Notamacropus eugenii: one gene and its partners. The protein of the gene in region 3 interacts with the protein of the main gene of each other region in a pairwise test. Links are inferred from orthologs where the notes say so. Each region holds a gene or a part of one and is shown on either strand. Other genes may lie near its edges.

The links.
Region 1: the proteins of UBQLN1 (region 3) and SERPINI2 interact in binary tests that used the Homo sapiens proteins (3 or more experiments, as listed by UniProt). The link is inferred for Notamacropus eugenii from reciprocal best matches to the Homo sapiens genes UBQLN1 and SERPINI2.
Region 2: the proteins of UBQLN1 (region 3) and ENTREP1 interact in a two-hybrid assay, tested with the Homo sapiens proteins (2 studies listed by BioGRID and IntAct). The link is inferred for Notamacropus eugenii from reciprocal best matches to the Homo sapiens genes UBQLN1 and ENTREP1.
Region 4: the proteins of UBQLN1 (region 3) and TXNDC12 interact in binary tests that used the Homo sapiens proteins (3 or more experiments, as listed by UniProt). The two-hybrid records come from large-scale screens. The link is inferred for Notamacropus eugenii from reciprocal best matches to the Homo sapiens genes UBQLN1 and TXNDC12.

What each region holds. Positions count from the first base shown.
Region 1 is NC_092877.1:357,003,995-357,012,237, reverse strand, and holds the start of SERPINI2 (serpin I2), read right to left. Parts: upstream 3,328-8,243; 5' UTR 3,010-3,327; coding exon 2,742-3,009; intron 1-2,741.
Region 2 is NC_092872.1:102,680,100-102,688,480, reverse strand, and holds the start of ENTREP1 (endosomal transmembrane epsin interactor 1), read right to left. Parts: upstream 3,703-8,381; 5' UTR 2,585-3,702; coding exon 2,165-2,584; intron 1-2,164. UniProt on the Homo sapiens protein: Functions as an activator of the E3 ubiquitin protein ligase ITCH in the ubiquitination of the CXCL12-activated CXCR4 receptor. Thereby, triggers CXCR4 endocytosis and desensitization, negatively regulating the CXCL12/CXCR4 signaling pathway.
Region 3 is NC_092872.1:74,443,429-74,451,290, reverse strand, and holds the start of UBQLN1 (ubiquilin-1), read left to right. Parts: upstream 1-4,483; 5' UTR 4,484-4,802; coding exon 4,803-4,958; intron 4,959-7,862. UniProt on the Homo sapiens protein: Plays an important role in the regulation of different protein degradation mechanisms and pathways including ubiquitin-proteasome system (UPS), autophagy and endoplasmic reticulum-associated protein degradation (ERAD) pathway.
Region 4 is NC_092873.1:512,180,512-512,188,266, reverse strand, and holds the start of TXNDC12 (thioredoxin domain-containing protein 12), read left to right. Parts: upstream 1-4,098; 5' UTR 4,099-4,211; coding exon 4,212-4,329; intron 4,330-7,755. UniProt on the Homo sapiens protein: Protein-disulfide reductase of the endoplasmic reticulum that promotes disulfide bond formation in client proteins through its thiol-disulfide oxidase activity.

The DNA of each region.
Region 1 (8,243 bases), on a different chromosome or scaffold from region 3:
ATGAGGGCAGGTAGGTGGTACAGTGGATAGAATGTCAAGCCAAGAGTCAGGAAGACTCATTTTTGTGAGTTCTCCTCTGGCTTCAGACACTTACTAGCTTGGCAAGTCACTTTATCCAGTTTGTCTCAGTTTTCTCATCTACAAAATGATCTGGAGAAGAAAATGGCGAATGATTCCAGTATCTGTGCCAAGTAAACTCCAAATGGGGTCACAAAGAGAGGCACACGACCAAAATGATTGAATAACAGTAATAAACTTGTGGTGGGGAGTTAGATGTAAGTAGATTGGAAATGTAGGAAGAAGCCTGGCTACAAAGGAATTTAAAAACCAAAATCAGATTTTGTATTTGATTCTAGAGTCAAGAGGGAGCCACTGGAGTTCATTTAATTGAAGGTTGTTAACATGGTCCAACTACCTGTGCTTTGCAAAGCTCACTTGGACGGCTGAGTGGAGGAGAAAGGGAAATGGAGAGAGACTTGAGGTAGGCTAACCATTAGGCTATTGGAATAGTCTTGGCATGAGGTAATTAGGGTTTTTACCAACATGGTGGTAGTGTGAGAAGAGAGAAGAGGATGTGTAGAAGAGATGTTGTAAGGTAAAATCAGTAAGTCAACACTCTCCAATTGCCTATAGGATACCTAGTTCAAAATGTCTAATAGGCAATTGGAGATTCTAGAATGGAAGTCAAGAGAAAGGTTATGGCTGGATAAATAGATCTGAGAATCATTTGTATAGAGATGAGAATTGAATATACAGGACCTATGAGATCACCGAGCAAGGTAATGTAAAGAGGAAAGAGAAGAGGTCCCAGAAGAAAGACTTGAAGGATAATCAGGTGCACACTCAACGAGGAGACAGAAAAGGAGACACTAACAATTAAATAGTGACCACAATTAGTATTTATACTGTACTTAGATGTCTGTAAAGTCCTTTGTATATGTTATCTCATTTGATCCTCATAACAACTCTGTGATGTAGCTGATATCAGCCCCATTTTATATATAAGGAAATTGAGGCTGAGAAAAGTCTAGTGACTTGCTCAGGGTCACTCAGCTAAATCAGTGCCTGAGGAAGAGTTTGAACTTGTCTTCTTGACAAGCTTTCTTTTTCAGTAGACTGGATTGGTGCTGGCCAACTATATCATAACTCCTTTCTAGAGTATAAAATCCAGAGTCATGATGAGTGTTGCTACAAGTAGCTTTCACTGATGCAACAATTTAGAAAAACAAAACATATATTTTTAGATTTCATTTCATACTGAGTAATAAACTCTCAAAATACAAAGGGCAAATACTCTTAGACACATTCTACAGATGAGAAAAAAAATCCCTTCCAGCTCTGACTCCACTTTGGGGAAAAATCATTCCCATTTCCTGATGAATTGCAGCACTTCCTTCTCAACCTTCCTTCCATTAGGAAGTTAATCATCATCTTTTGTTTCACTTGGCTGGTTTCAGGAATTGCTTCTGGGCTATTTAAAGGACTGGTGTGACCAGACTAACACAGGACATGGAAGACTTTACTTTCCCTCTTTGAAACTCTAGAGATTAGCCTTAAGACTTGCTGGGTGGGGGAGGAGTGGCAGAATATTTCCAAAGAATTAATTAAGACTCAAAAGGCATTTGGCAGAGTTTGAAACTGATTTCCTGACATTTTGCAATTCAGTAGCTTTTCTGAAAAAGAAAAAAATGCAATTCATAATCATTTGTCTGAACGAATGGATTTATGTCATGTACTTAGGCCTTAAGAACATGTGACAGTCAGCAGCCCTTTGATAAATCACAGTTCTTGGAAGTCAGTAGGAAAATGTCACCATCTAACAGAAGTTGCATTTGTATGTATATGTGTGTCTTCATAATCAGCTTTATAGACTTAATTTAATTTGCAGATAAATGACCTGTATTTAATAAAGACTTTAATGGAATGTTATTGTATGAATCTCATTCTAAGAAATGAAAGCCTATTTATTTGATTTTCTAGGAAACAAGGCTTCTCAGCAGCAGCAGGGGAGAGGAAATGTAGTGATTGTGGAACAGAACGACTTGGGTTTGAATCATGACTCTGACACCTACTGCCTCACCTGTAGGAACATTGGACTGATCCTTTCAGAACCTCTGAGGACCTCAGTTTCTTTATCTGTAAAGTGAGCGAGTTGGACTCAATGAGGCACTCCTAGCTCTAGATCCTATCTTCTCTCTGGTTCTGTGTATCTTTCCCTCTTTGCCTTTGCTCCTTACACACACACACACACACACACACACACACACACACACACACACACACACACCTGTATCATTCCCCAAACCACTTTTGCACTGAGTGGGGAAACCATAATCTTCTCCTCCTGAGATAAATGGACAGTTTGATAAAGGTCCCAAGCAAATCTATATTTTTGTATCTTTGCCATTTCTAGTCACAGGCTCATAGTATATGAATGCTGGATTTCTCTTTTAAAAAAAAATTCTTCTCTCAGGGACCTTAGATAACACAGAGTCTTGCTGCTTCCTTTAAAAATTAAGGATCTGAAACCTGAACTGATATGCCTAAAGTCAAACAGGCTCCAATGTCAGTCAGGATATAAACCCAGACCCTTTGTCTTCAAAACAAGGGTCTTTCCACTCTTGCACACTCTCTAGAGAGCCCCAAAACCTTTTATGTCACTATTTTTGGATACCTCATACTTGAGTTGGCAGATCTGCCACAGAGAAAATAGAACATGATTCTCCCTAAGGAAATCTCACCAACTGAATCTTCTTGAAGTCTCAGAGCTCTTCTTATCTGGTGCTGGGCTTTTCCTTTAGCCCCCATCTGTACCATTCCCAAAACCAATCTTGCACCAACTGGGGAAAATATAATATTCTCCTCATAAGATGAACAGATGGTTTGATAAAGGTCCAGAGCAAACCTATCATTGCTGTCCGCCAAAAGACTGGAACTGTGAATCCGGATGAGGAACGGTCCACAAACGGTCAGTAAGAATCTCCAAAACCTGGTCTGAGTCATAATCATGCCTGTGCATTGGGAGAATCAAAATTAAGTGGACAACAAAATACCAAAAAGTCACTGAATTTAATTATCAAGAAGAACCTTCCATTCCCAATGGACAAGATAGTGATGTAGAGCCAACAGAGTCCCTGTAATTTGGGGTTTTCTCATCATACATCTTTATTTTTAGGAGGAACAGGACTGGTGGATTTAATCTTGTTTTCCTTGTCACTATTTTTAAAATGTTTCTTGCATCTGCTACTCTGCCTGGTTTGAACTCCTTCACAAGAAGCCCCTGCACCAGATACCCACTCTCCATTCTCCTGCTTTTTTGTGTGAGGGGTCTCCTCCTTTGTATCTGCAGCCTCAGTACAGTGCCTGGAAATAATAGGGGCTTGATAAATGTTTATTAGATTAGATTGGATTGAAAGTCTCAACTTCTGACTTCATGAGTGCAGGGTACTTTTGAGGAAGATCAGCCACTCATCTGTAACTTACCTAGAGAGGTGCCTGGTGACTGAGTACATTAGAAATTACTGGTAGATTTATTGGTCATTTTTCAATGTAGTTTTTCCCAAGGGGCCATGGTTCTGGAATTTTGTCAGGAATTCTGTTCATTCAGAATGATCCCTTCTCATCCTTCACCACATTTGTGAGATGCTTTTCTAGAATTTTAATATCAAAGTCACTAGAGTTCCCTAATTTGAATTAGTCTTATGTGTTATGGCCTGAGAAGAAAAATGATCTCAAATGGACACAATTTGAATGGATTCTAGCTACTGCTGACATTACAGAGTTGCAGTTATATAGTTCATTGGAATAATACAGTTTTATATGTACAGATAGTTGCAATATTAGAAGTCAAATTCTTTAAAAAAAACTAATCCAGGTGCAACCATTGTTTGGATTATCCAGAATATGTTTTATATACTCATTTGAAAATCCCTTTGTTTTGGTGATCAATATCTCATGATAGGAAAGAGATATCTCAAGAGCATATTGAAAGAAATTTTGTTAAGAAAATGAGAGAATATTCTAAAGCACCAAACAAATATTTTATTAAGGAATAAATTGATACATATGGTTGTGGATGTTACTGTCTTAATGAGAAAATCAAATTGGCCAGAGAAGTTTCACATGCAACATTTTCTGTGAACAAATCTGTCCTGACATACTGAGAAAGAAGGTTTTTTGTGAGGTTTCTGAACAAAACATCTGCTTGCTATTATGCAAATAGCTAAAAATGATACAAATGCTTGTAATTCATCTAATATCAACCCCATTAGGGATCTATTTTGCATCCAAGTACAAATTAGAATTACAAACAATATTTTTCAAGTGTGTAACATGTTTTATGTTGCTTGTACCATAATCTGAAAATCAAGCCACAAGCATTTATTAAGCTTCTACTGTGTGCTAAGTCCTTTGCCAGGCACTGGACCTACAAGACACAATAGAAATAATCCCCATTTTCAAGGAACTCACACTCTTTGGGGAGAAACAATATAAGCAAATATAAAATACATGATATCATTAACCCTAACAAACATAATTTGTATAAATATGATGCTCATTACAAGCTAAGACACTGTTCCCAATTGATAGTCAAAACATATGAACAGGAAGTTTTCAGACAAAGAAATCAAAGCTATCTATCTATAGTCATATGAGAAAATGTTCTAAATAACTATTTATCAGAGAAATGCAAATTAAAACAACTTTTAGGTACCACCTCATGCCTATCAGAGCAACTAATATGACAAAAAGGGAAAATGTTGGATGTTGGAGGGGATATGGGAAAACTGGGACATTAATGCACTATTTGTGGAGTTGTGAACTAATCCAGCTCTTCTGGAGAACAATTTGGAACTATGCCCAAAGTGCTATAATACCCTTTGATTCTGCAATGCCACTGCTAGGTGTATATCCTAAAGAAATAAAAAAAAATGGGGGAAATGACCTATGTGTATAAAAATATTTATAACAGCTCTTGTGGTGACTAAGAATTGGAAATTAAAAGGATACCTATCAATTGGGGAATGAGTAAACAAGCTGTGGTATATGATTGTAATGGAACATTATTGTGCTGTAAAAAATGAAAAGCAGAATGATTTCAGAAAAGCTGGAAAAACTTACATGAATAGATATAATGAAGTAAAGAGAACCAGGAGAACGTTGCACACTGCAATAGCAATGTGGCTCAGTGAAGAACTATGAATGACTCAGCTGTTCTCAGCAAAGACAATCCCAAAGAACTAATGATGAAGTGTACTATCTGCTTACAGAGAAAGAACTGATATTAATTGAATACAGACTGAATTGTGCAATTATTCACTGTCTTTCTTTCATTTTTCCCCTTTTATTGGGGTCTTCTTATATAAAATGACTAATACAGAAATATTTTACATGATTGCATACTTATAACATATCTTATTGCTTACCATCCCAGTGAAGGGAAAGAAGAGGGAGGGAGGGATAGAATTTGGAACTAAAATTTTAAATAAAAAATGTCCCACAAAATTGGGGGAAAAGATAAGACATTGGAAATCAGATTTATAATTAGAAAAGACCTTATATGCTATGGAGTTCAACCCTACCATTTCATAGCTGATGGACTAAGGAAATAAGAAGTTAAGACTAGTCACAAGACTAGTAAGTTCTTGAAGCAAGATGTGAACCCAGGTCTGCTGACTCCAAGTACAGGACTCTTTACTATTCCTCTATCAGACATTTCTAGGCATCAGAAAATTATCCCCTTCTAGAAACATTTTCACTTACCCCTGGAGTGGTGACAGCTGAGTAGGTCTGTACTTTCATGCTGTACAATTTGGTGAAAGGTCTTGATTCAACAACTTTGAATCCAAATTTGCTATCTAATTTCCATAGTGAAATCCATTAAGATGATAAAGTAATCCCTTAATTGTTAAAACTTCAATCATACTTCCTATACCCTCAGGAATTCCAACATTTTTCAATTCTGCCGAATCATCATATGGGGTCCTATCACACCCATATGTTACACTAAAGGAGTTTCAGGTGTGAGATCAACATACTTACTTTTAAAAATGTCCGATGGTTAGTTACTGGATGTTATGCTTAGAATGAGCTTCCTGGGAACTGTTAAGAGCCTGGCTCTGTAGAAGGGCAAGGGCAAGTACATTTATCATGAAGGTTACTTGATTAATTTTTCCAAACTCACAGCAGGTGTTCAAGAATTCTGTTATGAGAGCACTAAATGATAACATTAACTGATTGCCCTTAAGAGGTGGAAGAACTGATAGAGAAAATCATTTCAATGAGTAATAAAAGGAATGGCACAAAAAAATGAACCGCTCAGAATCCATTGAACAAACGTTACCATTATTCTTCATTCTGTTTAAATTATGGCATGACTGGAAATTGAATTTGGAAGACCATGCAGTTGGTTCTGAATTGAACTAGTAGCTTATTCCTGTGGTTCCACATGAGAATTTAACACATTCCACTTGGATGCCATCATCAATATTTAATGACACTCATGAGAAAAGTAATCAAATCAAAAGTAATCAAAAGTAATCAAGTAGAACCAAGTCTAAAAGGGAATGCAGTTATATAGTATGACTGTATTTAAAAGAAAAGAATCTCTATCACATTATAGAAGTCAGGGTAGCTGGACTATGGGTACTGTCAACAGTGAGTGTGGACAATGTCCTTGAGAACTTTGCCACCTTAACTTTCAAATGGTCGTATTATACTATAGATCCATCGCAAACTTGCTAGTCACTAGGCTCTTGCACATAGTAACCATCTAAATGTGTTTTTTTCTAATCCATTCATTTGTTCACTAACACACCTAGCCATTTTTCAGGTAAGCTATTATCTCACCACAGATCCATTGTATTGTAGTTATTAATTTTAATTAAGATATACAGCTTTAAGTCCATCTTTATTAAATCTCTTGTTATTAGATACAGTACAACCTTCTTTTCCATACAGGTCTTTTGAGACCCTGTCTCTGTCACCTGACATATCATCTCTACCTCTTAACTGTTTCTTTACCCTTTATTCTTTTGCTTCTGTTACTCTCACAGGATGCTCTGTCTTCTCCTCACTCCTTGTCTTTTCACTGACTGCTCCCATGCCTGTAATTCTCTCTTCTCTCGTTTCTACCTCTTGGCTTCCTTGACTTTCTTTAAGACTCACTTCAAACCCCATCTTCTGCAGGATGCTTTTTACTTCTCACTATTTCTTCTCCTATTTTCCCTCTGAGATGACCTTCTATGTGTAATGTACATATCTAGTATGTATGTATAGTTATTTGCATGTGATCTCCACTATTAGACCGTGAGATCCTTGTGGGCAAGGATGGTGGTTTTCTCTTTCCTCTCTGTGTAGCCCTAGCACTTAGTACAGTGCTTAGGACATAGTAGGTGCTTCGTAAATGCTTGGTGACTGACTGTATCATCTTCCAATTTTATAAGCATGGTAAACATGCGTTGTCCAAATCGCTGATGAGGATATTAAGGAAACAGTGTGGGAGGATGAAAAGAACACTGACCCTGGAGACAGAGGACCGTAGTTCAGATCCTGCCTCTGGTATTTACCACTTATGTAACTTTGGGAAAATCACTTAGACTCTCTGGCCCTTGGTCTTCTCATCTGTAAATAAGAATGTTGGACTAGGTTGCTTCCAGCCAAGACTTAGAATCCAAGATTAAGCAGCACAGAGCAAAAAACAGATATCAAGGACATTTACTTGATTAAATTCCTACTATGTGCAAGCACTGAAGGCATAAAAATAACAGTGAAATATTATCTGCCCTTGCATTATATTATATTATAATATATTATTCATATTATATATATATATATATATATTATACTCGTTGTTTAGTCATTTTTCAGTCATGTCCAATTCTTCATAGCCTTATTTGGGGGTTTTCTTGGCAGAGATACTAGAGTGGTTTGCCATTTCCTTCTCCAGTTCATTTTACTGATGAGGAATCTGGGGCAGACAGGATTAAGTGACTTGTCTAGGGTCACATAACTAGCAACTGTCTGAGGCCAGATTTGAACTCAGGAAGATGAGTCTTCCTGACTCCAGGTCCAGGACTCTATCTGCTGTGCCATCTAGCTACTGTGAGGACCTGTAGCAGGTCTTATGAAATACCACACTGACTTAGGAATGGCAATGTCTGCTCTCCCTAGCCTATAACAGAAGCAAAGAGACTAGCGCAAGTATGGCAGAGTTGTCACAACTCAGGACACTGATTGAGCTG
Region 2 (8,381 bases), about 28 Mb from region 3:
CGCCATGAGACTCCAGGATGTATCCAAGAGATAAAGAGTAGTTCATTTTGGTCAGTGTAACCACTGATTCTGTGACCTTGAGCAAGACCCTTTACCCCTCTGATTATAAATGAAGAGGAAGGGTAGATCTAGATTTAGAAGTAACCTCAGAGACTGTCCAATCCAATCACTTCATTTTGTAGATGAAGGCACTGAAGTTCAGGGAGACTAAGACAGGTAATAAGCATCAGGGATGGGATTTGAACTAGACTAGATTTGATTCCAGATCCAGTGCTCTTCCCACTGCACCCAAGTGCCTTTCAATCATCTCTGAGATCCCATTTAACTCTAATAGTCTACCCTGCTGTAACTATGATTCAACCTCATTTACTCTGATACATGAACTATGCATCTGATTCCCAAATGGTTAAATATAGACAACTCTGAACAAAGTTGGGAGGTAGTATGATACTAGGGAAAGGACACTGTCACTTCCTGTGTGACCATGGCCAAGCCCACTTAATCTACCTTGACTTCAGTTTCTTCAATTTTAAAATAAGGAAGAGGGAGTTGGATGATAGGGGCTATGAGGTACCGTTCTGCTCCAGGCCTGTGATTCAATAATTACAGATTCACTAGATTTCCTCCTAAAGAAAGGCACCAGAATGTAGAGCAAAGCAAAAATCCAACTTTCGGTCTTTAGAAGGTGAAAATGGCAATCACACAGCAGGGTATACACATTATCAGCTACCCTCCTGATCACTGCACATACTGTACCATCCATAAAATCATCTACCATCAGACTACAGCAGTGAGGAAAGAAAAGTTCAGGCTAAAATGGCAGCCCAGTTGATAACTCTGATGTTGATGTATTAATCAAACATAAGATTGAATTGTGGGAAGTTACTTTTGACTTATGTATTATTTTCTTTGTGTAATTGTTTCACTGCATTTTTAAGGGACATGTATTACAGGAAAGCATGAGATTTGACATATAATGTGCATTCTTACAAGCCTTAAGACATGAACATGTGAAAAATGGTGCACTCTGTAAATGTTCATTAGGATTTTAGTTAGTTCACAAAAAACTTAATTTGCTTTAAACTTCATGGTAGATGGCCCTGTGCTTTCCCACAAAACCCATTTGGTGAAATGTGAGCCTTTGTTTCCAAGGCTCTTAACCCACAGGGCAAAACCCATAGAAACCTGTAGGCTCATGATGTTTTGTAAGGAAACCCATGCTTAGCCTGGATTCATCAAGATTCATCAGAGCATCTTAAGTGGGCTGTGAATACATCACAAATAGCAGGCAGTCCTATCACTCTATTTCTCTCACTCCCAAAGGCCTAGTATGGAAATCCTATGACTAGGTTTATAGGGGTTCATGCACTTTGCAGAACACATTCACTACCCAAGCAGCATCAAATTGCAACTGCAGTGGAAAACAGGAATCCTGAGACTGAAAGCAGGCATCTCTAGATGTCTGCTGGAGTTGTGCCTACTGATTAACGAAGACACCAGGGTCTAGGTTCTCTAGAATTCAATAGTGTCTGATTTTAGGTTAAAATTGCTTTCTCCCTATCAACAAAACCTTTATGCACATAGTAAGCAAGTGTGACATACCTCTAGAAACATGACACAGTTACTTAAAACTTTTCTGCACTTAAAAACCCAAATAACAAAATACACCTACCGTCTCTCCTTACATTTGAACCTTTCCTCAAATACATTCTAGCAATACTATGCAAATGTCACATTTAAAAACAATTACATGTATACACCCAGGGAGTGAAGGAAAAGTGTGGATTCTAGCCCAGACAAGCTCACCATCCATAACCCATTTTCCGTGGGAAACTTCTCTTTTTTTCTCCCTCAGTGTGCTCCTCTCTGTCTTATAACTGCTGGAAATAGCTGTTAGACATTACTCCAGAAAGATGACAGTTAAGTATTAAAATTTTAAATCCCAGAGGGAAAGAAGTTACAACCTGTACGTACATTCATAAAGGGCTGCCACCTCTGGGCTATGAGCCACAGTAGAATTGCACAACCCAAGTGCTACCCCAAAGAGAAAATGAGGAGGGGCGCAGAAGAGCCTGAACTAGGAGACACGTCTGAACTTCCTCGTCCCCCTCATGCAGCCCCCTCACCTTGGGCTGTCCAGGCTCGGAGGCAGACACAGACTTACCGAGGAGCCAGCCCAAAACGGGCAGGAGTTCTTCACCTGCGGGGAACTGCTCAGAGACAGCGCCCCGAAGCTGAGCGCCACCATGCAGCAGCCCAAGATGAGCTGTAGGAGCCCCAGGGACAGCAGCGGGCGGGCGGGCAGCAGTCCGGAGCCCGGGACCCCGGCGGCGGCCGCGGCGGCGGCGGCCCGGCGGGCGGACAGCGGGGGCTGCGGCGGCGACAGCACGGAGGCGGCCGAGGCAGCCGCCCCGCGAGGCCGCGCCGGGGGCGGCAGCCCTGCCCGCGACCAGCGGGGCCGGAGCGGGGCCAGCGGAGGCTCCTGGGCGGCGGCGGCCGCGGCGCCCGGACCGCCAGCCGGAGTCCCTGCGGAGAGTCCTGCCACCGGGCAGCAGGAGCCCGGGAGCACCACGGGCAGAGACATAGGTGCGGAAGGTGGGACGCTGAAGGGCAGGGGCTGGATCCCTGCTGGGTGGAGGGGCCCCGGAGCTGGAGGAAGAGGAGGAGGAGGCGGCGGCGGCGGCCGCGAGCACCACCCAGAGCGGGGCAAGGGGCGGGGGCGAAGGAGCTGTCCGAGCCACCGAGGAAGAGGGCGATGGTGACCTGGCTCCTGCGGCCGGGGCTCAGGCGGACTCGGAGCCCTGACGCGCGCCGGTCTTCCTAGCCCGGCTGGCTCTTCTTTACCCGGGGCTCCCGCCGGGCTGCTGCTGCTGGGGCCGCCGGACCCACCCAAACCACCTGCCGCCCCGGACCGTCTCCTCCCTCCCCCACACCGACGCCGAAATACTTGGTGCTGCCGCCGCCCACGGTCAAGTGCACGGGCACTGGCGCGCTGTCCCCGCTGCTCAGTTACAGCCCAAGGGGGTGAGCCAGCCTCTCACGGCCGGCGTCCCCCTTAGGCGAGCGGGCGGGGAGGAAGGCTCTGAGCTTGAAGTTTTAAAATAACTCCTCCTGCGGTGGCAGGGACGGCCACGGGAGCAGTTGGATTGCGTGGCGGGTCTTGGCTGCCGGCCCCTCTAGAGGGGCGGGGGAGATCCTGGGAGAGAGCGAGCGGTGAGGGGTAAGGCGAGGAAAAGAAGGGAGACTGGGTTTGCTTGGCCGCCGCCGCTCTGCAAGTGCCAAGCGGGAGCCGATCTGGGTCCCAGCCGCGTCTCTACCTCCGAACCGGTGTCTCGCTGGAGTAGGGCGGTCTAAGGATGACCTCACAGTCAGCTCTAGCTTCCCGGCCACCAGTCTGCGTCTCAGAGTCCTTGCGTTTCTAGGAAATCCTTTGGGCTGAGGAAGTCCCCGAACTGCTGGGCTCAGAGCCGGGAAGAAGAGGGAGACCTGAGCAGGCAGGGTCGCTCTCCAATCTCCACTTGTTGATGTTCTCTGCCTAGATGACAAAACCAGCTGCGCAGGATGTCACTTGGCATCGTTTCTTTAACCTGTTTGAGGGGTTCCTGTTTCCACGTGGGAGAATGGGTGGGGAGAACTGGGAAAAGACAGAGAGGGCCCCAGGGCTTCTAGATAGGAGCAAACAGTTGTACCCAGGATCAGTCAGCCACCGAAATAAAGCATCAGGAAGTAAGGGGTTGGGTGAGTTTATCGCTTACCTCCGGGATGAGAGGTCGCGAGTTCAGTTCCCACACCCAGCCTTGCTCGGGGCTTCTGGATGCTGATACTGCAGTACAGAACTGCAAGGGAGGGGCTGCAAGGAGGAAGATCTTGAAATGAGATATTCCACAGTGAAGTTCTTTCGGAACAACTCCCATTACCGGGGATGGGAGAAGCCTAAGGATTGGGCCGTCCCATCCAGGTATTTGAGAGAGGCCAGAGATACAGGTTTTCCTGTTTGTCTGTTCTCCACCTCCAGCAGTCAATATCAAGAAAGGAATTTCCTAGTGTCTGGAGGGACTGAGTGCATAATGAATGCTACATCCCTCTACCTCCCCTGACACTCCCTACTCCAAATTAATCATTCTTTGGTAGATAGATACAAGAGAGATTCTTAACCTTCCCAGGGAAAACCAAAACAAATGAAAATTCCAATCTATGCTCTTGAGTTCATTTGAATATTTGCCAGACACCTTCACATTTGCTTTTAAATATGACTTGTCCTTGATAAATGATTTACCCCAATAACATACAATGAGGAGAAACTTTAATGCTGCGAAAATGCTACTAAATCTAAGGAGATTTTAATGAGATTTTATGGTGGATAGAAGCAAAGGCAGTGTAATTTTGCAATTAAGTCGTATTGGGTGTTAAGGCAGATAATCTTAGGATGGGGGATATTCAGTGTCCTCCAGTTTAATGGATTCCTAGGATTTAAAGCCGAAAGGGACTTTAGAGGTCATCTAATGAAACCCTCTCATTTTACAGACTAGCCTGAAGCCAGAGAGGGTAAGTAATTTGACTTGTCTCTGTCACACAATTCATAAGCGTAAGTATCAGAACCAAGATCTGAGCCCCTCCAACCTGCCTCCAACCCAAATGGTTACACTCCACCAAACTGCTTCTCATATAAAACTTCCATTTTCTTTTATAATTTAAGTATGGCTAGAAATTGTATTGACTTCATCATAATTTATGACTGTAAATATATGACATACTTACTGCCAATGAGTTTGCATACAAAATTGTAGAATTTCTGAAGTATACATTAATATATTTTTTGCCTTATTTGTTATTTTTAAATTTCATATCTTTAATTTTGGGAAGACATTTCCTTTACAAACTACTCTTGGAAGACTTAAATTTACAGAAATATAGAATGACTCAGAATAGATTAAATAGCTCACACTTATAATCCCTGCTCCTAGGGAAGCTGAAACTGGTGAATCACTTGAGCTTGGGCATTCTGAGCAACACAAGGGCTAAAGCAGATGGTGTATCCCTACTAAGATTGGTATCAATTGGTACCACAGCCTGGGGTAAGGAGGCACCAAATTGCCTAGGCAGAGATCATCTTTCTGACCAGCTGAGGTCAGAAATGAAATAGGACAAAACTTTTCTGCCAATCAGCTGTGAGACCAGCCTTAAAGTAGCTGCTGCACAAAGATCAAGGATAAAAGGGGAAGACCAAACCAGCAAATAGATGAATGAATAACTCAGTAATTCAATGGATCTCTAATCTCATACATGCAAAATTAAATGAGATTATAGACCCAAATTTCATTTATAGAGATGCTTCACAAATCTTAAAACTAACTCTCTAAAACATCAGCCATTGTTATTATTTCTTGGGTACTCCCTTCAGTGGTGCAGGATGTAACCTGACCACATTCTGTCAGAGGCAGAGAGGATATACCCAGCAAGGTAGAATCTTCACTCTAGGTCTTTTATGATTACCAGTGTAAGGAGAATGTTGTGCACATTAGCCTCAACATGGTGTGATGACCAGTTTTGATAGACTTAGCTGTGCTCAACAATGCAATGACCAATTGCATTACAATTACATTCACATTGTAAGTGAATTACAATTCCAAAAGACTCGTGATGGAAAATACTATCCACATCCAGAGAAAGAACTATAGAGTCTGAATGCAATTTGAGGCATACTATTTTCTCTCTTTTTTTCTTTCTTGTGATTTTTCCCTTTTGTTCTGATTCTTTTTTCACAATGTGACTAATGTGGAAATATATTTAATATGATTGTGTATGTATTGCCTATATCAGATCGCATGCCATCTTGGAGAGGAAGAGGGGAAGAAGGGAAGAAATTTTGAACTCGAAATCTTATAAAAGTGAATGTTGAAAAGTAATAATTAGTTAATTAAGTAAAAGAAATAAGGATAGGAATTGAGGACACTTTCAACTAAAAAAAAAAGAGATACCTGGTGTATCAGAACAGGGCCTTGGATTGCCATAGTTTATAGATTTAGAGACAGAAATGACATTATAACTTGACTGCTTTGTCATAAGACCTAAAATTTAGGAACATGTAAGGCTGCTAGGTAATACATGAGTTCTCTGTCATAGGATCATAGATTTAGAGCTGAAAAGTACTTCAGAAACTATGTAATCTAACTCCCTCATTTTATAGATGAGGAAACAGAGGCTCTGAAAGGTTAAGTGAAATGTCTAAGGCTACATAAGCAGGTTCAGGATAAGCCTATCTTCTTATCACGCAATTCATATATATATATGTATATAAATATACATCCATATATGATAAGAAGAGATAATGCTGAGTTCTTGAATTCTCTATATCACTAACTTATAAAAATCATGGGGAGCAGGGAATATGCCCTTAATTCTATGTAGCTTTTCCCTCAGAAAATTATAGTATTTAATTTATACTGACAGCTCTATTAGCCATTTTTAAAAAAAGAGATATCAAGAATAATTGAAATCCACTGGAATACAGGAACCCCATTTAAACCACTGGCTTCAACCTCTTCTACCTAGAAGGCTAATTAATTGAATTTGCTCTGTTGTATATTCTCTTTTATAGGTGACCTTAGTGGATGATGGATTTAGAACTGGGAGGGACCTTAAGGATCATCCCACCTCGTCATTTTACAGATCAGAAAATTGAAGCTGAAAGAGTTATCCCAGGTCTCACTGTTACTAAACCTCAGAGATTAGGCTTTGAACTCGGGTCCTCTGACATCAGAGCCACTATTTGATTTTCACTGTTGCATATTGCCTCTTAAAGACAGTCATGTACTTCTACAATGAAGAATATCTTTTTTTTTAATACAAAAGAAAATGATCTGCTTCATTCTGCGATCAAATTCCATAGTTCTTTCCCTGGATGTGGAAGGTATTTTGCCTTAAGAGACCACTGGGAATTATTTAAGTTCTTGAATTGCAATGAAGTATGAAGCCTACCAGAGGGGCAGCTAGGTGGTACAGTGAATAGAGCACCAGTGCAGGAGTCAGAAGGACCTGAATTCAAATCTCACCTCAGACACTTGACACTCACTACCTGTGTGACCTTGGGCAAGTCACTTAACCCCACTTGTCTCATCCTGGGTCATCTCCAGTCATCCTGATGAATATCTAGTCACTGGATTCAGATGGCTGTAGAGGAGAAGTGAGGCTGGTGACCTGCACAGCCCTCCCTCACTCAAAACAAAGTAAAGCGCTAGTCATGTCATTATTTCTCTGATGGTGTGGTCTTCTTCAGAAATGAAGGACAAACACACACACACCAGAAAGATTCCTTACACACCATGGTTGTTGTTGTGTACAAAGTTCTCCTGGTTCTGTTCCTTCCACTCAGCATCAGTTCATATAAATCTTTCCAGGCCTCTCTGAAGTCTTCCTGTTCATCATTTCTGGTAACAGTAGTATTCCATTACATTCATATACCACACTTTGTTCAGTCATTCCCCAATTGATGAACGTCCTCTTGATTTCCAGTTTTTGGCCATCACAAAGAGAGCTGCTATAAATATTTTGGTACACATGGGGCCCTTTCTCATTTTTATGATCTCTTGGGGATACAGTCCTGGAAGCAGGATTGCTGGGTCAAAGAGTATGGACATTTTTGTAGCCCTTTGGGCATAGTTTCAAATTGCTTTCCAGAATGGTTGGATCAGCTCACGGCTCTACTAACAATGAGTTAGTATTCCAACTATCCCATATCTTCTCCAACATTTATCATCTTCCTGTTTTGTCATGTTAGCCAATCTGATAGGTGTGATGTGGTACCTCAGAGTTATTTTGATTTTCATCTCTCTAATCAAAAGTGATTTAGAGCATTTTTCATATGACTATAGACAGCTTTAATTTCTTCCTCTGAAAACTGTCTGTTCATATTCTTTGACCATTTATCAATTGGGGAATAACTTGTATTCTTGTACATTTGACTCAGTTCTCTATACATATTAGAATATATATAGTTCTCTATATATTTTAGAAATGAGGCCTTTATCACAGATACTAGTTGCAAAAATTCTTTTTCAGTTTTCTGCTTCCCTCCTAATCTCGGCTGCACTGGATTTGGTTGTGCAAAAACTTTTCAGTTTAATATAATCAGAGTTATCCATTTTGCACTTCATAATGCTTTCTATCTCTTGTTCAGTAAAAAATTCTTCCCTTCTCCATAAATCTGACAAATACATTATTCCTTGCTCTACTAATTTGTTTATAGTGTCAATCTTTATACCTAGATCATGTACCCATTTGACTTTATTCTTGTGCATGATGTCAGGTATTAGTCTATGCCTAGTTTCTGACACACTGTTATCCAGATTTCCCAGAAATTTTGGTTGAACAGCAAGTTTTTA
Region 3 (7,862 bases):
CACTGTTGTAATTGTTATGTGTATTGTTTTCCTCATTCAGCTTACTTTGTGTTAGTTCAGATAAATCTTCTATGCCTAACGTATTCATTTTTTCTGACAGAGTAATAGTATTTTAGCCTCAAAAATTCACAACTGGAAGGGATCTTAGAGTTCAACGCTCTTGTCTTTTATCTGAGGGAACTGAGATCCAGAGAGGTAAAATGATTTGTCCATGGTCACATAAGTAGTAAGGGTCTGAGGTGAGATTTAAACTCAGGTTTTTCTGATTCCAAGCACAGCATTCCACCCATTACACCCTGTTCATTGCCTGTACATAATCTTCTATTATGTAATTTCAAACCATTTCCCAGAATGACTGGACAAATTCACAGCTCCACCTAATAGTGCTTATCTTTCCATAGCTCCAACACTGACTATTCCCATCTTTTTCTATATTCTTGTAACAGCAAGCACCTTGACATCCAGGATAACAGGCTGGTACAGATTCTCAGATCTGCTTTTCTAAAAGGAAAACAACTTTTAAGGGGTCAGCAATCACTTTAATTAAACACATATATCATTCACTTAGTTTAGGGGAAACAGTCAGCACCCTGAACTTCAGAGAAAATACAAACAGAAATTACAAACAGAGAAGATGGCAAAGACCAGCAGACAGGGTTTCCAACTGTCTGACCATAGGTCATACATACAGTACAGATCAACAGACAGATCCAAGTGTCTGACCATTCCACACATGCATAGCTACCAGAGAATCAAGCACCAACATCTGGATTTTTAAAACTGAGGTCTCCTTAGGGGCTTCTCAGAGTCTCATCTGGCCTAATCACAGGAACATTCTTCCAGTGATTGAGCCCCAAAGCTAAACCTCATTTCAGTCGCTGTGCATCAGTGCCTCATTACCAAAAGGTGTGGTGGGCCTGCATACAAAACAAGCCTCCTTCAATAGCCCCACCTGCTATTAATTATCAGGGAAGATTTTTTTTTTAACTCCCATCACAGTTCTGTGGATTCTCATTTCAACATTCACAGATGAATCTTAAGTTCCAAAGCAAATCTTCAACTCTACCTTTAGGGCCATACACACTGAGGAATCGAGTTATTCTCTAATACCTAGCCCCTCACTGGTGTGTTTCCCCCTAAGAACCTGAGAATCCCTTAGTCAGCCAGCCTTAAGTAGCTTTTAGAAAAGTGGTATTTACTAAATTTATTAAGGTGATACACTAAAAATAGTTGGTACAAACACCTCCCCAAAACTATGACACACTCTCCCACAAGTACATACAGAGTCCAGAATAAAGTGAGGTCAGTCTCAGAAAGCATATATGGCAAAGAGTAACTCAGAATTTGATGGCTACAAGTTTTTCCCCTTTTTTCTAGGGTGGTCAAGAAGTTCCCCTTAAGCATCCCCCAAGCATCTGTCTCAGGTTTCTAATGCAGATGCAGCTAGGACACCTAAGGGAAAACGAGAGGTCCAAAATCCTCTGAATCTTTTGAAGCACACAAGCTCCTCCTCTGGTCAAAATCTGGGGGGATTTCTAACACTAGAGTCAAGCCTTCTTCCCTCTTTCCCATAACAGGATCTTTTCCATGGGTTTTAATTAAATGTCATGTTTGCTTGTGAGCTTCAGAACTTATCTCTTCTCAACTAGCTGGCTAAAATATACAGACAACCTCTAGGGTGTGGCCCAGATTCCTCAGCCTATCCAAATAACAATTCTTGTGCCATCTCATTTCAGTTTAGAGGCCTTTTCAGGCTTAGGCTAAAGGTCTAGGACTGAACGTGATTGGATTGGGTTTTGTCATTTACTTAAAGTTGGGTGAGGTTGGGTCAATAAATCATCCCACCCTTACATTTGGCAATTTGCTGGATGAGCTGAAATCTCAAATTTGTTTTGTGTTTCTTATTAGGGATTTGGAGCAATCTTTCATATAGTTGTAAATAGTCTTAGCTAGTCTTCAGAATTGTGTTCCTATCCTTTGACCATATATCAGTTGGGCAATGGCTTTTGGTGTTCCATATTTCAATGAGTTGTCGGTAACGTTGGATATCCAGACCTTTAGAGATAATTGATGAAATTGATGAAAAGATTTTTTTCTAATTGAAAACTTTTCTTATGCTAGTTGGGTTAGTCAAATTAATTCAGTAAATGTTTCATAAGTGCCTACTAAGTGTCAGGCACTGTACTAATCTATGGGAATACCAATGAGAAAAAGAAAGGCAAATGCTCGGTATAAGGACCTTGCAATTCAATATATACACAACAGGAAGGTGGAAGGGATGTGTGGGTGGGTGTGTGTATCTTGTTCCTTTAAGGTGAAATCAAGTAGATTTATAGCTCTATAGATTTATAGACCTTGAAATGCACCATCCAGCCTGCAATCCTGGTTCCAAGGTCACCACGGCTAGAACTCTTGGTATTGTGGGGATTACCCCTTGACACAAAACCAGGGACAACACAGAATACAAACACCTCCCCCTCTCCCCATCCCCTTTCTCGGAACAGGGATAAAAGAGAGGGAGAAGTAAGACAGTCCTTCTCTTATCAAGTCAGTTAATGACTTGTGAGCAGCAGACAAGGGTTGCCAAAAGGGAAGTAGCAGAGAAGAGCATGGCCAAAGAGGCCAAGGCTCAGCAGACTAGGTTTAAGGAAGCAGTCAGTCCATCAAAGGAGGCTACACGCACCCCCATACGGTAGGGGACCCAAAGTGCTCCATGGTAGGCAATCCAGATGTGCTCCAGAGGCCCTTCAGGTCTTTTCTCCATGCCTGGACCAGCCCAGGTTATACTACCTTTTCAGGTATTTCATTCTCCTCTGCACAAATTCCAGCTGCACTAGCCTAGAGCATGTCCTCAGTAATCCTCTCTGTGCTTCCAGACGGTCCTACGTCCCTTCCGCGCCTCTGCCTATTCTTTTTCCTTACGTTTCCACTCAGGTGCCACCTTCTAGAGTTGTCAGAGCTCTTTCTTTTCAAATTCTCTTCCTTTTCCTTCTCTGTATCCCCTGGGAGGAAGGATACGGACTAAAGCATCAGGCCCATCCTAGGGCTTCATGTTTATTGAATACGGTTGGGTCGATCAGAACTGAGGCGTAAGGATGAGTAAGACACGATTCGGTGGCTGGAAAGCAGAAATCACATTATTGATCACTCGATATCCTCCTAACACCAGAAGGCAGGAGCTCAGCTGAAAACCAGCGAGCCCGAGCTGCCGTCCCTGGCCTCCAAGGCCAGCGCTGGGGTCCTCTCGTTCTCCCGGGGGCAGCTCACGTCGTAGAGGGCATTCCCCTGGCAGTGCCCCTTCAGCACCTCCAGCACCGACGTGCAGGGGAGGACGTGGAGCCCGCTCGGGCTTTTTTCTTATTCTGGTGACAAAGTTTGGGCATTCTCATATGGGCCGCTCCTAAAAGTGAAGGAATGGTTTGTTTGCAAATAGTAAAAAAAAATTGTCAAGCTGTTAAACGGCCAACTACGGATTCCCAGAAAATAAAAACCCATTATAAGTTTACTCAGCTATTTTAACATCCGTCCTTCACTGACCCACAAAATGGCCATTCGGACATTCACCCGTCCTCGGCAGCAGAGGAGCGGGAGGAGGCCGCCACCTTCTCGCCGAACGGAACGAAGCCGGCAGCGGCCTGGCGCGCTCCGAGCGGGCCCCCGGCCACCTCAGCCCAGCCCCGGGGAAGCGGCCGGAAGGAGGCTGCGGGCTGCGGCCTGGACGGGGCCGAGCGGGGGCGCTCTTTAACACAAGGGGTCCGATCGGCTGGACCAACCGCGCGGAGGGACAAGAGCCCGGGCAGGGCGGCGGCGTCAGAGCGGCCCGAGGGCGTCGCGGGCATCTTCGGGGACCTCTCTGCCCCCGGCGCTGGGGGGGGGCAGACGCGTTAAAGCGCATTTGCACACCCCCCCGGGCCTCCGTAGAGGCGTCCTTCTTGTGACGTCGCAAGCAGACGGGGACACAAACCACCGCTCGCTTCTTCGGTTAGGCCTAGGTGAAGAAGCGTTGGGACGGTGGGGAAGGAAGAGGGACGGGGTAGGAGAGGAGACGTAACGCGGAGGTGTGCGAGGTTAGGGGCACCGGGGGCAAAGACCGCGGAGCAAGCATTCGCGCAGGCGCACGCCAGCCCGCCCCGCCTCCTGGACGAGTCCCCTTTCTAGTAACTTCCCCGGCCCGTGATGTCATCTCCGTGCGACGCCACGGCGGCTGGCATTTTCATTCTTTACGCTTGCTCATCTGAAGAGAAAAGCACACACACACAGGCAAAAACAGACCCCAGGGCTCTCCCCGTGCCCGGGGAAGTTACTAGAAACGTCTTAGCTCCGGCGGTGGAGGGTTTGTGTGTCTAGCAGCCTAGGGAAGACGGGAAGGGGAGGCAGGCCAGCGAGAGGATGGAAACTAAAAGCCCGTGACGGCCCACAGTGACTCGGCGACGCCGGCTTCGTTTCCCAGCGTGCCTCGCGCGGCGCCGCCGAGGGCAGAGGGGAGGAGGGAAAGAGGGGAGGGAGGGGGCGGGGGATGAGGAAGCGGCGGCGACGGCGGCGGGTGTCGCGCAGCGAGTGAGTGTGTAAGCGGGATCGGAGGACCGAGCGGTGGCCGCAGCAGCAGCAGCAGCCGCCAAGGGCCGGGCCTGCGCCAGCGCCCCCACAGCGCCTCACCCCGCGGGGGGGGCTTCCTACCGCTGCCCCCTCCCCCCTTCGTCGTCGTCCCTCCCCTCCCCCCACCCCCCTCAGCCTCCGGGCCCGGCCGCCGCCGCCGCCGCCGCAGCGAGGCCTCGCTCCTCGCCTGAGTCACCGCCGCCGCCATGGCCGAGAGCGGCGAGAGCAGCGGCCCCTCGGGCCCCGCTGCAGCAGATGGTGCCGCGACCCCCTCAGGCGACCCCAAGATCATCAAAGTCACTGTGAAGACCCCGAAGGAGAAGGAGGAGTTTGCGGTGCCAGAGACCAGCTCTGTCCAGCAGGTGAGGCCCCCTCCCCGGGCCTGTAACCTCCGCCTCCCGGCCCGCCGACACGCACGCCCGCGGGGGAGCCGGGGCGGCTCGGTCGAGGGCCGGACTGGACGCGGGAGAACGCCCGAGTCGGGCGGGCTTGGGGTGGGGGCCCCGGCCTGGGCGGGATGGGGACGGCGCCGGGGGCGGCCTCGGTCTCCAGGCCCGGGGCCGAGCCTCGGGGCCGGGTGGAGGGGATGGCCCCGGAGCGCCCGCCCGCGGGCCTCCCCCGTCCTCGGGTAGTTCCGACCGGCGTGGAGGGGAGGGTGTCGCGGCCGGTCCCCGGCCGTTCCCTTCACAAAGGACTCGGCCGGACCGGCTCGGGGCGGGGGCGGAGGTCCGCCTGGGCTCCGGCTCCCCGGGGCAGCTGCCTGGCAGAAAAGTTTCATTGTTCGGGATGACTGTTGAGCCGACAGGGTTAAGGGAGGCTTAGGGTGAGGAACACGTGTGCAGTTGTGCCTTTTGACTGCTGGAATAGCTTCCACCCCTCGGAACAGCTTTTTTCTTGGTTCGGTGACGTAGAAATTGCACCCGGCCAAATTGGAGGAATAACTCCTACCCGGCTGTTGGAGAAAAGTGAAGCATTTTCTTTCACCGGTGTTTTGTTTTTTAAAATCATTCTTTGAGCTCAGGTGCTGATCCGAGGGATGACGGGTTTTTATTAGGTAGTATTTAGAGGTAGGAATTCCGTATAAACTGATTAGGATTGGCTAAGCGATTTAAAATCTGATTTCCGCTGTATCTTGGTGCTACGAATAACCGGAGTTGTTTGGGCCCCACCTATGTAGTACCTGATCGCTGCTTAATAAAACTAGAACTAGCAGAACAACCCAAACCTTGACTTGAATTTTGGTGTGGAGCTCCAAAGAGCTGGAGGCCGTCCACCGGGAGGCGTTAGGAGCCCATCAGCAGGGGTTTGTCAGGGGTGGATTCACATCTCCCGACTGGGTTCTTTACTCTGGACGGGACGGAGTGGGTGTAGTGCCAAGTGTGCCGCCTATTGAACCTCCAAATTACAGTGTGAAGCCCCAGGATTCTCTTTTCCAGTTCTCTAGTCTCACTTCACTAAGTTGGATGATTCCTTTCAGCACTCTACTGCAGGGAATCAGGAAGGAACAGTCTTTTAACTACAGTGTAACTTTATAGCTCAAATTATGTAAGCTATAGATGATGTTTTTGACATTGAGGCTATGAGGGTCTTTCCTATTTTCAGTGGTAGGCATACGTGAAATTAAAATATTAATCTGGGAACTTTTTTTTATGTTGTAAAACCAGTGTTAGCATAGATGAAAATCCACTGATCTTTGATGGTTGTCAAGAGTACAGATAACATTCCTTTTAAGACTTAAGAATTTTAAATACAATAGAATTCTTTTGAAGGTCAAAATACTGTACAAGTCGATTTTTAATATGCTTCTTCAATGAAACTGGTTGAAATTGCAGAACCGACCCTTTTTTGGTAAAGGTACATGAGAGAAAAATTCACAGCTATTCATTAGAAGAAAGTGTTCTAAGGCCATCTTGAAATAAAATATTTCTTAATCTTGGAGCTTTTACTCTTAATTATTAAAGAACTATGCCCTCAGGTTGATAAAAATTCAACTTCATTTTTTTATAAAACAGTTCTTCCTTTTTATCTGTTGCACTCTAGGAGGCAGTGTAGTATAGTTGGAGTACTGCATTTGGAATCTAAAGACCTGGGTTCCAGTTCTTGTTCAGTCCTAGAAATATGCATGTTCACCTGGAATGTTTTCTTCTGTACATAGCCATTATTAATGGTACCCATATGTATTAGGCAGTTTAATTATTGGAGTAAAATAAATATTATCAAAGGCATTGTTTGGCATACCTCAAATTGTTAGGATGACAATTGCACCAAAGTGGAAACAGCTGTTTGCCACAGGTTCTTCTATCCGTTTTTTGTTTTTGTTTTTGACATTAGGGAGACAATCCAAAAATGAGATTAAGAAAGAAGTTAGGATCATTGCAATTCAGCAAATATTTATTAACCACCTACAAATTTACAAGGCAGCTGGGGATTCAAAGACAAATAAGACACTTCTCTTTCCCACAAGGAGCTTACATCTAGTAGAAAAGGTAAGACAGGGACACAAATAACTGATACAAATTATCATGTGATATGTTCATGGGAGAGGGACAAAAAGTGCAATTACAAATCTGAGAATGGAGAGAGACGATATCTTAAAGTTTCTAGGTTAGGCATGGTATTTTGGGTGTTGTCTCCTATACTTCAGTTTTTATCCTGAAATTTTCTTGCCTTGGGGTGGGAAAAAGCCCCCAGAGAAGGGACCTTTAAAGCTAATACGTTTTATTAAGTAAATAAGATTATATATAACTTAAAAATTGCTTGGCATTAGTGGTTCTACATAATATTCTTTAATTTGTTTAATAATTTATTTTGTATTTATAAAATAGTGTCATGTCTAAGTCTGCCCTTTTCCTTTATTTAAAAGTGAGCAAAGGGCAGAAACTATTTCACTTTCTATGTGAGCCTTTCTCTTGGATAGAGTGAGTACTTACTGCTGTGTTTTGGTGATGGTATTTTTTTGTGTACTTAATGTGTACATAATTAAGGTGGATGTTAATTTGCACTAAATGTATTTTTCAGTGGGTCTCACAGAATCCGAAGTGGTTAGCTGTTTAAATGTCAGTTCTCAGTAAACAATAGTTAATGTTTAAATTCAACAAACTTTAGGATATTTTGAGTGCTGTGCAAAGATAAATTTAATAAGATAAATCTTGTCAATTTTTTGAGTATTAACTGGAACGCTTTGGGAGATAAAGTAGTTTCAGAAAAATCTTTCATCCTAATTCTTAGTACACAGTACATTGCACATGGTAGGTGTTTGATAAATA
Region 4 (7,755 bases), on a different chromosome or scaffold from region 3:
CGGAGGAGGGAATCCGGAGGATGTGAGGCGGTTTAAAAGCACATTCGGCGACCTTTAAATAAATTCGAGAGCGTTTACTAGGAGCCTACTTCCAGGCAGCTCCCGTCCGCTCTGGTCCCAGATTTCCAGCTCCAGCGGTCCTTTATTAGGCGCATAACGAGGTGCCCGCTGCGTGCAGGGACCGTGCTAAGAGCTGGTGCAAAGCAGCGCTTGTCCCCGAGGAGCTCACGCTCTGGGGAAACAGCGTGTGCAACATTGTATTCACGAGCTGTGCAGACTGGCACGCAACGTTCGGACCTTCGTACGGAGGGGCGCTCAGCGTTGCAGAGAAGGGACCCGCGGACGTCTTTTCTAATTTTTTCCTTAGGAGACACACTTTTGTTCCACGTTTTCTGTCGTGTACCACTCTCTGTGACCCCATTTAAGGTTTTCTTGGCAAAGATACTGGAGTGTTTTGCCATTTCCTTCTCCAGCTCATTTTACAGATGAGGAAACTGAGGCAGACAGGTTGAAGTGGCTTACCCAGGGTCACTCAGCTCTAGATCTGAACTCAGGAAGATGATTCTTTTTGACTTCAGATTGGTACTCTATCCACTGCACTACCTAGCTACCTCAGGGACAACCTTAATCATTCTAATGACACAGGTTCAGTAATTTTTTTAAAATCATGTCCGTTTACATTAATGTCATTGTCAGTAACGTTTTCCTGATTCCACCTCCTAAAGCTCAGGTCTGACCATGTCAACCTCCCCACCCCCTTCTCAATAAACTTCACTTTCTATTGCCTCCAGGATCAAATATATAACTGTCTGGCATTTAAAGCTCTCCGTAATCCTAGTTTCCACCTACCAGTGTTCTATCTTCTCCCTGATAGGTACCACAGTGACGTTGGCCTCTGTTGTTCAACAAATAGGACCCTGCATCTCTTAGCGCTGGGCATCTTCTACTGTCTCCCAAGAATGCTCCCTTTCCTCACTTCTGCCTAATGACTTCCTTTAAGTTCCAACTAAAATCGGAAGCCTTTCCCAACCCCTCTTAATTCTAATACTTTCTCTGTTAATTATCTCTTATTTATCTTGTGCGAATGTCTGTTCATAAATACATGTGTGTATATATAAATATATATATTTTGGCCATAGATTGATTTGTATATGTTATCTGCTGGTTGTCTACCCCTCTAGATTGTAAGTTCCTTGAGAGCAAAGACTGTCTTTTGTCTCTTTTTCTATCCCTATCCCTTAGCACAGTGCCTGGCACATAGCAAGCACTTAGTAAATGTTGATTGATTAATCGACTGGTTTCACCTTGCATCAGTTCATAAGTCTTCTCATGTTTCACTGAATTTCTCACCTCAGTCATTCTTAGGTTGCAGTAACAGTCCACCACATTCTTGTACCACAATCTGTTTAGCCATTTCGCAATTGACACAATTCATTCCTTTTACAGAGGAGGAAAATGACACCCAAAAAGCATATGTGCTTATCTAAAGATCATTCACTACTATCTGGAGAACTGACTCATCTCTCCAAGCCCCAGATCTTTAGAACCTTGCCTCTCTGGAGTCCTACTTGGCCATAGAGGCTGCATATTTCTATCTTTGTACCTGAAGGGTAGAATTCTGGACTTTCATTTTCTTTGATGTCATTGCTGACCTCACAAAATTGTCCATTTAGAAAATATTTATTTCCAAAGAATGGGGAAAATGGAGAGGAGAAACTGATCACCTGCTGATCACAAGTGACCTCTAACAAAGAGCCCCAATAATCCAGTTCATCCCCCAAACTCCAAAATACAGCAGATCAATTCAATTCAATAAATATCTACAGAAAAGGAAACCAAGGCTCAGAAAAAGTAAGAAAAATTCCTTACCCTAGGAGGGACAGGTAGAAGTAGCCAGGCTTTGATAAGAACCCAGATCCCCAATCTCCACATTCAGTGGGGTTTTCCATCAGCCCTGATGCTTTTCATGCACTTCCTATCTCTGTGTTATTGGGAGGAAAGGTACTTTGTAAACTCTGGAGTGGGAGCTGTTCTAAGTGTTATCATCCATCCTCCCAGGCAGACTAGATATCCTTGTTAATGTGTATGGGGGTGAGGATGGGGGTGAGGGGGGGGGGCAAAGATTGGCAGAACAATGGACTAAAGACTGATTTAGATTGGGATCCTGGGGAAGACAAAGAGAGACTGAGATCTTCACAGCCACCATCCTGGGAGAAGGTTCATACCTACTGGGGGAAGGAGAATTATTGCTCCAAATCAGTTTGTTCAGTCTCATTGAGTGACTCAAGGAGTCGACCAGAGCCTAGTTTGCAAGTGAAGGAAGGAAGAGGTGGTAAAGGGCAGGCTGGGAGAGGACAGTGTACCACAGCAAGACGAAATGAGCAAACGTATGTTAAAGTGCTGTATGAACAAGAACCCTACTCTTTGTTTCAGCTCCTCGGTGTCTGTTTCCACATCTGCAAAATAAGAATTATAACCATGGCACTTTTCTCACAGAGCTATTGTAAGACCCAAATGAGAAACTGTATGTAAAGTGTATTATAAACCTCCAATTCTGTTGTTGTTTTTGTGGTTCAGTCATTACAGTTGAGTCTGACTTTCTGTGACCCCATTTGGGGTTTTCTTGGCAAAAATACTGGAGTGGTTTGCCATTTCCTTCTCCAGCTCATTTTACAGGTGAGGAAACTGAGGCAAACAGGGTGAAATGACTTGCTCAAGGTCACACAACTAGTAAGTGTCTGAGGCCAAATCTGAATTCAGGAAGTTGAGTCTTCTTGACTCCAGACCTGATGCTGTGCTACCGAGCTGCCCCCATCCCTTATCTAGGGCCTTCCTTGTGCCAATTTGCCTTTGAAGGGAGGCTTCTAACCCAGTAACAAATTGTCCCTTCCACGTTTCAGGAGTTTAAGGTGTAATGGGGGTGATAAGTGGAGGCTGAGGTTTAGAATAGACTAAGTAGATGGGGGTTGGCCTTGGAGTCAAGACCAGGGTTCAAGAACAGCCTGTGACCCATCTTGGTTGCATGACTCTGGACCTATAATATATCCTTGTCAATGGCCCAGGGGACCTTTCCAAGACTATAAGTTATAGGTGATTTGAAGAAGTCCAACCAGCCCTACCATTTCCTCTGACTCAGCCAAAACCATCTTCTTAGCTGGTATGGGTCAGAGCAGGAAGGCATCCCTACTAACCCCAACTCTTCCTTTGACAGAGGAGGAAACTGAGGCCTTGAGGGTGCAAACAGCTTGCTCAATGTCCCAGAGTGGACCAGGAAGATTTCAAAGCTGGTCCTCCATTCCAGAGCAAGCCCTGAAGAATTGGCCCTAGTCAGGCTGATGCGATGCAACTGCAGAAGCCTTAAGAGTTACTCTTTATTTCATTGTCTAGAGTGTCTACAATAATTTAGCACATATATTTGTGGGGGTGTTTTCTCCTCATTAGATTGTAAGCTCCTTGGGGCAGGGATTATCTTTTGCCTCATTTTGCTCTGTTGCTTAGCATGGTGCTGGCACTTTCCCTCCTTTTTTGACTTGGTTTGCCACGTCCTTCTCCAGCTCATTTTGCAGATAAGGCTACTGAGGCAAACGGGGTTAAAGTTGAGTCTTCCTGACTCCAGGCCCCTAATTCTGTAAGCTATGCCTCTCTCCCCCACCCCCAGCTGCCCCAAGCAGGTGCTTAATAAGTGTTTACTGATAGACTGCGCCCCGCCCCCCCCCCGGGGTGTTTCCTGGCTGCATCTCCTCCACCTTACCCAACCCTACCCTACCCTACCAAGACCATACACAGTATACCGTAAACTCCAGGGGGGCAGGGGTTGTCTCCTTTTTCTCTCTGCATACACATCCCGGGCGCTCAATAAGTGGTGGAGGACAGAACTCGGGATACCATAAGCAAGCACGCCCTGGAGGCGCTGAGGTCCGCCCGGCCGGGCTGCACGTGCCAAAGCCCCGCCCCCGGCCCGGCCCCGCCCCCGGCCCGCCCTCCACCTTCCCCAAGCCCCGCCTCAACCACAGCCCCGCCCTACGCCTTCCCCAGGCCCTGCCCCCAGACATCAGCCCCGCCCCCAGGCCCCGGCTTTCTGTGCCTTTAAGACCCCTCCCCCCGGCGCCGCCCACATCCCTCTGACTTCACTTCCTTCGCGGCAGAGGAGTGGAGAGAGACGAGGAGGGGGAAGAGGAAGAGGAGGCAGCCCGCGCCCCCCGCCCCTAGCCATGGGCGCCCCGCTACAGCTCCTGGGCGCCGGCCCCACGCACCTCGCCCTGGGCTGCTGCTACTGCTGCCTGCTGCTCGTCGTCGCCTCTGCCTCCGCGGCGGGAGGGCTCGGAAAGGGTCAGACTGCCTGCACCCCCTGCACCTTCCCCCATGGAGCCCCTCCCGCACCCTCCCCCACCCTGCTGGACCCCCCCGCACCTCCCCCACCCTGCTGGATCCCCCTGCACCCTTCCTACCCTGTAGGAGCCCCCCACACCTCCCCCACCCTGCTGGACCCCCCTGCACTCTTCCCACCCTGCAGGAGCCCAGCTAACCTTCTCCATCCTGCTGGAGCTCCCCTGCACCTCCCCCACCCTGCTGGACCCTCCCCCCGCACCTCCCCCACCCTGCTGGATCCCCCTGCACCCTTCCTACCCTGCAGGAGCCCCCCCGCACCTCCCCCACCCTGCTGGATCCCCCTGCACCCTTCCTACCCTGCAGGAGCCCCCCCGCACCTCCCCCACCCTGCTGGACCCTCCCCCCACACCTCCCCCACCCTGCTGGACCCCCCTGCACTCTTCCCACCCTGCAGGAGCCCAGCTAACCTTCTCCATCCTGCTGGAGCTCCCCTGCACCTCCCCCACCCTGCTGGACCCCCCCCGCACCTCCCCCACCCTGCTGGATCCCCCTGCACCCTTCCTACCCTGCAGGAGCCCCCCCGCACCTCCCCCACCCTGCTGGACCCCCCTGCACCCTTCCTACCCTGCAGGAGCTCCCCCGCACCTCCCCCACGCTGCAGGACCCCCCCCTCGCACCTCCCCCACCCTGCTGGATCCCCCTGCACCCTTCCTACCCTGCAGGAGCCCCCCGCACCTCCCCCACGCTGCAGGACCCCCCCCCCCGCACCTCCCCCACCCTGCTGGACCCCCCTGCACCCTTCCTACCCTGCAGGAGCTCCCCCGCACCTCCCCCACGCTGCAGGACCCCCCCCTCGCACCTCCCCCACCCTGCTGGATCCCCCTGCACCCTTCCTACCCTGCAGGAGCCCCCCGCACCTCCCCCACGCTGCAGGACCCCCCCCCCCGCACCTCCCCCACCCTGCTGGATCCCCCTGCACCCTTCCTACGCTGCAGGAGCCCCCCACACCTCCCCCATGCTGCAGGACCCCCCCCCGCACCTCCCCCACGCTGCAGGACCCCCCCCCCCCGCACCTCCCCCACCCTGCTGGATCCCCCTGCACCCTTCCTACCCTGCAGGAGCCCCCCCGCACCTCCCCCACGCTGCAGGACCCCCCGCACCTCCCCCATCCTGCTGGACCCCCCTGCACCCTTCCTACCCTGCAGGAGCCCCCCCCCCCGCACCTCCCCCACGCTGCAGGACCCCCCCCCCGCACCTCCCCCACCCTGCTGGATCCCCCTGCACCCTTCCTACCCTGCAGGAGCCCCCCACACCTCCCCCACCCTGCTGGACCCCCCTGCACTCTTCCCACCCTGCAGGAGCCCCGCTAACCTTCTCCATCCTGCTGGAGCTCCCCTGCACCTCCCCCCTCCGCTGGAGTCCCCCTGTACTTCCTCCTGGGACCCTGGATCCCCAGGCAGTCCTGAGACTCCCCTCTCCAGATGCTGGAACCCCTGTACCTCTTTCTGCGGTCTTGGACCCTCCTTTTGGCTTCCAGGACTCCCCTTTTGCTGACGTGCCTCTCCTGTACTCCCCTCCCCCCACTGCAGTTCTGGACTACTCCCCCACCCTGTCCAACTCCCAGATTCTCCAGCCCCCCCTCCCCATTTTCCTAACGTCCTCTGGCTTTCTGAACTCCTGCTTTCCTTCTCTTGGGCCCCCTCTGCGCTCCTGGACTTCTCTATGAGCTTCAGGATGTCCTCCGGGCCCCCAGGCACCCCTTGAGCTCCTGGCACCACCCTGTGCTCTGCTCCTCCCCCAGCTTCTGGACTCCCCCTTGAGCTCTTGGGCTGGCCCTCCCCCCTTTCCCCAGGAGGGTTGGACTGAATGGCCTCCAACATTCATGTGACACTTTAAGGTTTGCAAATCAATTTATAGATACCATCCTACTTGTGATACCACCTGACTGTGTGACCCCAGCTAAGTCACTTAACCTCTAAGTGCACTAGGGGCAACTCTCTAAGGTTGTGAATTGCAGAGAAGGTAGCAACCAGCATTGGTAGAGGGACTTTCCTCATCCTGGAGTTCCCTATACTCATTCAATCACAGTTCCAGCTCCTTTTGCCTTTCTTTGTAGCCCTTGTGACTGTATACAGTAAGTACCCAGTAAGTGCTTATGGACAGAGTAACTTCCCAGAGGTGATATTATTATCCCTTTTTTATAGACAAGGAAACTGAGACTGTGAGAAATTTAGGTGCTGTGGGTCTGAATCAGGATTCAAGCCTGGTTCTTTCTGATTCCAAGTCAGCTATTAAACCCCAGAGGGGATGGGACAATTATGTATAAGCTACTTGTAAAAAAAAAACAAACCAAAATACCTTAAATTTGTGGAACTCTGGATACTTTGCCCAGTGGAGTAGTTTCTTCATTTTAACAATAATAGCTGACATTCATTCTGTAGACCCCCACAGGAGTGAACTCCTAAGATTTGGTGGAGGACAGCGTGTTGAGGTCTCAAGTGGATCAAAAGACTTGACTTGAAATCCAGTTTCAGACACTTACTAACTGTGTGACCTGGACAAGTCCCCTAATCTCCGTCTGCCTCAGTTTCATCAACTGCAAAATGGGGATAATATTTGTAAAGCACTTGGCAAACCTTAAAGTGCTACATACATGCTAGCTATTACAATTATTATTGTGAATATAAATCCTTGAAGTACTTTTAATACAACTTTCTCCCCCCCTTCACCTTCAGAGAAATCCTTGGACAGCAGAATGTAGGAGTCCTCATCCATTTTGGCAAGCATGGCCTTTAGTGAAGGTTCTGAGGACATGATTTTTTTAGGTCCCTTTGCCAATGACCTGAGTTAGTTAACCTCTGGGCAGGTGGCTGCTTGGCTAGAAGTTTCTCTGGAGATTGCACGTGGGCATCTCAGCAACTAGGCAAATACTGCTTCCTCCTAGGATTGGCCCTTCTCAGGCCATACTGGCCCCAGTTGGGTCCTGGATCTGTGGCTGCCGAGTGAAAGGGGGAGAGGATCCAAGGTCACTGTTTTCAGAGCTTGAAGGGACTCAGGGACTCATCTAGTGTGGCTCTGTTTGGGGGAGAGAGGTCCATAGCTTTTCTTTGGGGTTTTCAGACAGTTTAGGACAGATCGGGGGATGGGACAATTATGTATAAGCTACTTGTAAAAAAAAAAAAAACACCTTACATTTGTGGAACTCTGGATAGTTTGTCCAGTGGAGTACTTACCTGACATTTATATGGAATATCCCAGAAGTCTTAGTTTTAGTGCTGGTTTTAAGCTTTAAAAAGTAAAAGCTAACATGACAGAGAAAACTCAATCAGCAAACAACTGCTTTGTTAGGTACCTACTGTATACCAGGTCCTGTGCTAGACACTGAGTTTACAAAGAAAGAAGTGAAACAGCCCTCCTCGGCCAGTC